Linked DNA regions of Ovis aries. The protein of the gene in region 2 purifies or fractionates together with the protein of the main gene of each other region. This does not show direct contact. Links are inferred from orthologs where the notes say so. Each region holds a gene or a part of one and is shown on either strand. Other genes may lie near its edges. The genes, in order: CAPZB and ARHGAP17.

Evidence for each region.
Region 1: the proteins of ARHGAP17 (region 2) and CAPZB purify together in Homo sapiens (affinity purification with mass spectrometry; 3 studies listed by BioGRID and IntAct, with this or other methods). This does not show direct contact. The link is inferred for Ovis aries from reciprocal best matches to the Homo sapiens genes ARHGAP17 and CAPZB.

Annotation. Positions count from the first base shown.
Region 1 is NC_056055.1:247,027,985-247,032,045, reverse strand, and holds the end of CAPZB (F-actin-capping protein subunit beta), read right to left. Parts: intron 3,332-4,061; coding exon 3,229-3,331; 3' UTR 3,219-3,228; intron 747-3,218; coding exon of another isoform or gene 659-746; 3' UTR 634-658; downstream 1-633. UniProt on the Homo sapiens protein: F-actin-capping proteins bind in a Ca(2+)-independent manner to the fast growing ends of actin filaments (barbed end) thereby blocking the exchange of subunits at these ends.
Region 2 is NC_056077.1:23,131,499-23,135,306, forward strand, and holds part of ARHGAP17 (rho GTPase-activating protein 17), read right to left. Parts: intron 3,546-3,808; coding exon 3,454-3,545; intron 1,210-3,453; coding exon 1,050-1,209; intron 1-1,049. UniProt on the Homo sapiens protein: Rho GTPase-activating protein involved in the maintenance of tight junction by regulating the activity of CDC42, thereby playing a central role in apical polarity of epithelial cells.

The DNA.
Region 1 (4,061 bases), on a different chromosome or scaffold from region 2:
TTTTAAGTATGGAAGCTCAAGTATAAGATGTAGATTTTTTTTAAGCTTTACAAAAAAACAAAATAAAACAAAAACTCCTTTTGCATTCCATAAAAATTGACAGAAAAGCACCTGGCGAGAGGAGCAGGGCGGCCCGCAGGCCCCGCCCCCACCGCGGGCCGAGCTGAGGGCCACCTCTCCTTTCTCCCAGAGCTGTCCCCTGTCCCCCGCCGGCCCCCAGCCCCAAGCAACTCCCAAACACACGTGGAATCAGATTTCCAGTTTTTCTTCTATCTTTCACACACCACAGTTATTTCATAAAATTTTTTTGTTTTACATTTTTTACACCAATGTAACAAAAAGGTGGGAGGGGAGGGAGGCAGACAGACAGTGTATTTTTATGCCGATAAATGGGGGGGGGGGGGGCCGGGACGGACAGAAAACGCGGTCTCTATGGGAATACCGAGTTGTGATAGCAAAACGTGGTGGGGGAAGGAGGTCTCCGAGACCAGGGGTGTTTACCGGGTTTATTCTCGGGAGAGATGGCGCTGCGGTGGCGATGCGAGTTGTTGTGTGGCCTGTCGGGGAGGGAAGGGACGAGGCAGGGAGCAGGAAACGAGTGTCTAAGAAAGGAGCCTGACAGCGCACGGCGTCTCCGGTCAGTGGGGAGCAGAGGCTTTTAACACTGCTGCTTTCTCTTCAAAGCCTCCACCAGGTCGTTCTTAAGAGCTTCTTGTTTTGATTTGTCTGCAAAAGTCTGCACAGACCTGTGGGGTGGAGGGGGGTGGGGAAGAATCATCATGAGCAGGCAGAAGAGGAAAGGAAAAGAGGGAGAGAGCTGCCATGCGGTGCGTCCGGGGTTGGGGGGGCCGGGCGCCCCTCCACCCACGTCGCCTCTAGGAGCAGAGCTGCAAGCCGTGCGGGAAGGTCGGAGGGTGCGGAGGGGCCCAGAGCCGGAGGCTGGCCCCTCAGCACCTCACCCGGCCCTGCAGGGGAGGCCACAGCCCAGCCCTGCCCCAGGCTGGCTGTGACCTGGACTCTGGGCACACGTCACAACATGGGCCTGAACCACAAGTGGCTTCCGCGCCAACTCCTGGATTTGTGGGGAAACGCTCATGTGAGTGCGCAGACGCAGGGGTTAGACAAGGTGAGCAACAGCTAAGCTTTGTGGACACCGTGTCATCTGCTGTTTGTAAGTGATTCCCAAGCACACTTCACTCTCACAAGCATCGCAGAGGAGTCCGAGCATTAGTCCCAATTTACAGATGAGGAAACTGAGGCTCTGAGAAATGCTGCTGGCAATGACCTTAGGGACCCTGGTCAAGGCTCCCCAATGTACAGGCTAACTGGGGGCTTGTTAAACTATGTACAGCCTTTATAGCAGTCTCAAGGCAGTGGAGAGCAAGGGCGGCAGGCTGCCTGGCAGGACCATGGTGGAGCCACAGGAACCTCAAGCTTGACATGCGCTGGCTGTGAAGCCGCACAGGAAGCAGAGACCAGACAATAACCCCTCAGCCAGTGCCAAACGGGGCTTAAGTACAATGAGGTAGGACCAGGAGCATCCATATGGAATGCTGGCTACTGAGTCCTGGGAACACCATGGGAAGCGCCCTCAGAAGGTAAAGAGGGTGGCAGAGACAAGACTCTCAGAGAGTCTGTGTACAGCTAAAAAGCCTCCCATGAGAAATGCTGGCATTTCGGCTGATGCTGTGGGACACACGCTTCTGAGAGCTCGCTTTGCTCTGCGGCAGCTCCCACGGCCTCCTGGCTGGAGCTGTGCTGGCTCCTCCGGGAGAGGCACGCCAGGCCTGGGCTGCACCCAGCACCCCCACCCCCACCCCCGACAAGGAGAAATGTCCAGACGGAGGACCGGTAAGGGACAGGTTAGGCCAGAGCAGCTGGAGGTGGGAAGGGAGAGCGCTTGTTCAGGGAAAGGAGCTCAGGAAGGTCATGGCCAAGCCACCAGGAACCAGTGTCGGCAGGAGGCTGTGTGTGTGTGTCTCAGAGAGGAGTTGCCAGGCTGGGCAGCAGGGGAGGGGGCGCGGGGGTCCCATACCCCCACAGGGCCTGGCCAAGGGGAGGGGTCCAGAAGACCCTAGACCCGCCCCGGAGGCGGAGGGCCTGGGGAGAGCCGCGCTGTATGGTGCGCTTCTGAAGGCAGGGGGACAGCCCAGGCCCGGCGCCGGCGCACCCAGGCCCGGCGGCTGCAGCCACAGCAGAGGAGCCCCCTGGCTGCACAAGGGCCGCCGCCCGAGCAAGCCCCCCGAGCCTCTTCTGGGCTGGGGCCCCGTGTCCAGCTCCCGGGCCTGGGAGGAAGCCCCTACTCCCGGGCTCTGCAGCCCTGCTCAGCTCGGCTTCCCCCCTCCTCTCTGGGGGTGCTGCCGGCTTTTACACATCCGTACCCATCACATGCTCAAGTCGTGTTCTTGGGTGTCGTCCACAAGCAAGACTTTCCCCTCTGTCAAGCGTAAGGCATTTAGGAGGATGGGTGCAGCTCATCGGGGGCGGACGGCGGTGCTGGTCCCGGCGGCTCCAGGGGCACCTGGTCTGGGGGCACCAGGCCTGGCTCAGACATTACAGCCCCACTCCGGGCTTCCCTGGTGGCTCAGACATTAAAAATCTGCCTGCAGTGTGGGAGAGCTGGGCTCCATCCCTGGGTCAGGAAGATCCCCCGGAGGAGGGAATCTTCACCCACTCCAGTATTCTTGCCTGGAGAATTCCATGGACAGAGGAGCCTGACAGGCTACAATCCACGGGGTCGCAGAGTCGGAGACGACTGGGCAACCGGCAGAGGGCTCTTAAGAGACCCAGCTCTGCGTCTCTCTCTTAGACTCAGGGCAGTACACCTCAGATCAGCTGACCCAGGCAACTGTCCCCCGAAAAGGGATCTTTTTGAGCTTCTGGGGTCCTTGGTGGAAAGGTGGCAAAGCTCCGGCTGCACACAGAGCAGACAGAGAGGCCGCCCCAGCCTCCGGTGAAGCAGGCAGCCCCTGGGAGCGGCGTGGGTGACCGTGACCCTGGCCTGCAGGGCCTGCCCCACACGCAGCCCTGCCCGGAGTGCCAAGCACACACACTGCACACGTGATTCGGGCCCTGTTACGCAGGGCGAAGTCGGCAGTTACGGGGCGGCTCCTGGCCGAGCGGACACGGGTTAGTGGTGTTTAAGGGGCTGGCAGGGTCTCGGCGGGCTGGTGAGTCCTGTTTAGTGGGGCGGCGCTCAGGCCTCTCAGGCAGGGTACCTGGAGCGGCTTAGTTATCGGGCTGGATGTGGATCTGGCGCTGCGTCAGCACTTGGGAAAGCTCCCTCTGCAGCTGCAGGAACTTGGGGTTGTCGGGGATAACGTCAACAGATCTACAGAGAGCGCGCAGAGTGAGGGCCGTGGAGGAGCCCCAGCGCGGAGGAAGCGGGGGCCGTGGGCAGGAGAGGGGGTGTCCCTGGGGCGCAGCCGCTCAGGGCTGTGGGCGTCAGGGCCGCGGGGCTCGGGGGGGGTGGCTGTGGCTCTCGGGGGCCCGCCCAGCCCCGGCAGGCTCTCTGCGGCTCCCCTTGGTTCTCCAGCCGTTGCCCGGGATGGTGCAGGCTGACGGGCGTGTCTGGTGTGTCTGATGACGCAGGGGCCCCAGGCCGGGAAGCTCTGAGCAGAGAGGACTCCCCAGGCCCCGGGCTCAACAGCCGGAGGAAAGCAATGCTGCGTGGGGTGAGCAGGGGAGTAAAGCCAGGGGCTAGACCAGGCTCCCCACAGACAGGGAATCAGAAAGGCAAGTCCAGAGCGGGCACCACCCTTACAGCTGTCTGAGAGAGACTGAACTGCCTCCCCTAGGCGGACTCAAACTAGGGCCACCCCAGGCCACTTCCTGCCACTGCCCGGCCTAGAGGGGTCTGTCCACAGGGGGCCTGCAGGGCCGGGGGCCAAGGCCAGGCCAGGCCACGAGCCCCTGGACTCGCGGGGTAGCGACGAGACTCAGACCCCATCCTCCCTGCCTCGGGCCCCCACCCAGCTCCTGGACGGGTGGGATGCCCCCGAGAGGAGTCCCTGCTCTAAGGTCACAGAGCTCGGGGTGGCAGGGGCTGCCTCAGACCCCAG
Region 2 (3,808 bases):
GCTTGTGGTTACTGGGTCAGCCGGTGGGGAGAATCCATCCAGGAAGATGGCTGGGAACTGTTTATCATGTACTAACTAGACCCTAACACTGCATTCGGTAACTTCAGATACACAAAGGCTAATTCTGTGACGGACAGTTTGTCATCAGGAAGCTCTTCTGCGTGTGTGAATGTGGGTTCAGAGGAGTGAAGCTTCTGCACATAATAAATGTGGCCTCCAGAGTGACAGAACAGGAAAGTAAAGCCTTTTCCTTTGCCATGGGTTTTAAAAACGAACAAACAACAAAAAGGCAAAACAAAAAAACAGACCTCACTTTAAGAGCGGGCAGTTAGAATAAGAGCTTGTTGTTTAGTTTTAATGTAAAACTATTTCTAGTAAGATTATTGCATGTACATGAGAAAAGCATGCGACTCCTAACTCAGCATTACTAGCAGACACAGTAGCATTTCAGCATACATGTTGGACAGATTGGCATCTGAAGGCAGAAATCACAAATAGTCTTAATAACTTTGAAAACCCCACAGATCACCCAAGGAGAAGTCCGACACAGTTTTTTTTTTTCTTCCAGAACTGGCAAAAACTGAGGCTGCTATGGTTGGCATCCAACGAGGAACCAAGTTATACTAAAAACGTGTGTCTTTAGACACCAACTCACACAGATCACCAGGAGAGGTGGGTTGTTCTCACATTCACTCCTGGACAGACATCCTCAATATTTAACTCTTTTTTTTTTCTTTTTCTCCAGTCAAGTACATTTAGGTGAATTCGTAACATGTGTGCGATGCTACTGTGTAGGGCTCATCACAGACCACCAAGCAAAGCTTGGATGCATCAGATATGAATGTTAACTGGCGGCTACACACCTACTCTGGAGGCAGATTAATGTTTGCAATGAACTAGAGCCGAGCTCCTGAAACTGTCTAGACTCTAACAGGCCTGGGTGCACACTGAGTCGCTGGTCCACTGAGGCAGGACCAGGGACCACGGGTCCACCACCTCTCCCCTGTGCCAGCTCCCACTACCGTGAAGATCCACAGCTCTGAACGCACCTCTCCTTCTTCACCAGGTCCCCCTCCATCACCGCCATGCTGGCAGGCCGCTTCCTCTCCAGGGTCCCCGAGTCGACCGGGTCATTTCCAGTGTGGGATGAGTGATTGGAATTCGGGGTGGTGAGAGGTACAAACGCTTCTGACACATTAAATTCCACCTCTGCCGGGAGAAAAAGAAACGTGTACATGAGACACAGCACACAGAGGTCAAGGGAGCTGGAGGGACACCCCACTGGGATAGGAGACTCCTTCTTTCATCCACGAGCCCTCACTATTTCACAAGTGAAAGCCCCAGGCATCTCATCTTCTTAAGGAGAGTTTACCAAACCAAGGCGGGGGGTAAGTTAAGAAAACTAGAGCTAGGGGAGGGGTATGATTCAGAATCCAAGTTACACAATTCCCCTGCTTTTTCTTTTCTTAAAAAAAAAAAAAAAAAATCATGGAATATGGAAGAGGATACTGAGCATGGATGACTACTTATTGGAAGTAGAAAAAACTAAGATATGTACAGCTTGATATTAAGTAGATAAAAAGAGTGGCATCAACTTCATACTGTCTACAGCAGGTTCTGAAGACTCGTTTTCTCAAAAGAAATCTTGGCTCTCAAAAGCATGATCAGGGAGCCTGGGGTGCTGCAGTCCGTGGGGTTGCAAAGAGTCAGACATGACTGAGCGAACGAACTTATTGAAAAGCACGATGCTAAATGAAAGAAGCCAGATACAAAAGACTACACTCCATACTCTTATTTATATAAAAATTTTAAAAGGCAGAGTGTAGACATGGAAAGCAGATGAGTGATGGCCACAGGCTGAATGAAGGGAATGACTGAAAAGGATCACGAAAGAATTCTCGGGAATGATGGAAATAGTCTATATAATCGTTGTGGTAGGTACACACTGGATATATTTGTTAAAAATCATTACATTGTACAGTCTTGCATAAGTTGTTAATTTATGCAAATTATACCTCAATAAACACTGACCCCCTCCAAAAAAGAGAAAAAAGGAAACCCTGGGCAGAATGCCAATTATCACCTATCTATCACATATTCACTATGCATGCTTACGTGAGCGGGGTGTGATTCTGGATGGCGGGAACTCAGGGGAAGAGACAGATGAGAAGAAAGATGCCCATGAAGAACAAAGACAGAGGAGAAGAGATGTGCTTGACCAGGCTTCAGGGAGCTTACACTCCGGAGGGTGCCAGCTGGGCCGCTCCGGTCAAAGCTGGGGCGGGAGGGCCGGACTCCCAGCCAGTACCCGAAAGGGGGCCCCGCACCCCTGAGGATCCCTGCATGTCAGCGCCACCTCATCTACCGGGCCATTCCTGGCCCTTCGTGCTCGACACCTGAGTCTGTCAAATCCTCCCTCCACCTTCCTTCAAATGTGTTGTGTGTCAGAGTTTCTCTGATGATCAGGTCTCCTTCTCCAGGGAAGACAGCACGTCTTACGAGCAAACACGTGCACCTAGCGAGTACTCAACATACACTGGCTAAGTGGGTGACTCCGGGTGCCGTGAAACAAAGTGAAATACCCAACAGTGCGGTTACCATCGCGTGAAAACAGGAATGCCAAGGGACTAAAAAGAAGCGTGAAAAAGCAAAGGCAATGTGATGGGATTACTTATGCATTTGCTTCCTTAAAAAGATTGTTTATACATAGAATTCTCATATAGCTCAGCAATTCCCCTCCTGGATATGTACCCAAAATAACTGAAATCTGGGAATTAAACAGATACTCGTATACCAATGTTTAGAGCAGCCAATTACCAATAGTCAAAAAGGTGCAAACAGCCTAAATGCCCACCAATCGGCTAACAGATAAACAAAATGCTGTTTATACATAGAAGGAATATTATTCAGATTTTTTAAACGGAATGAAATTCTGACACATGCTACAACATGGATGAATGACCCTTGAAACTGTTATGCTAAATGAAATAGACCAGACACAAAGGGTTAAACACTCTATGATTCTACTTATAGGACATGCACAGAACAGGCAAATTCACAGAGACAGAAAGTTCAGCTGCTCAGCTATGTCTGACTCTTTGTGACCCCAAGGACGGTAGCACGCCAGGCTTCCCTGTCCATCACCAGCTCCCAGAGACAGAAAGTAGGATAGTATTAACAGTTACCAGGGACTGAGGGGCAGAGATAATGTCTACTTATCATTCAGTGGGCAGAGAGTTTCAGTTTGGAATGATGAAGAAGCTTTGGAAATAGATGATGATGGTTGCACAACACTGGGAATGCAGTTAATCCCTCTGAATTGTACACTTTAAACGGTAATTTCATGTTATGTGTATTCTACCACAATGAAAACTTCAAAGATAAACAACAAAGAAAGATTGTTTATACTACTGCTGTGTATCCGTGTGTCAGTGAAATCGGAGCAGCAGTCACCTTCAGGGAAGAACCAGTTGGCGTGCTGGATGATGGGTTCGATGACCGCAACCACGTGGACGGAAGTGGCAGCTGCCATCTCAGCAAGCGTTCTGCAAAAGAAGTTGACAAAGTTAAACCATCTCCCCAGGGCAGCCTCCAATTTCTGCAGGTTGAGTCAGGGCAATTCAATTATATTGAAAGGATAAGACATTTAAGTACAAAGGCAAAAATAAGATCCACCAGGCTCTGGCTGAGGAGTGTGGCAGTGATCACCCAGGAAGAAAAGTTACCCTAACTCGGCTGTCACTCCTTAGTCTGTGCTGACAAGTATGATGTAAGTCAGTGACCAGTGATGTCTCAGAATGCTGGTTTT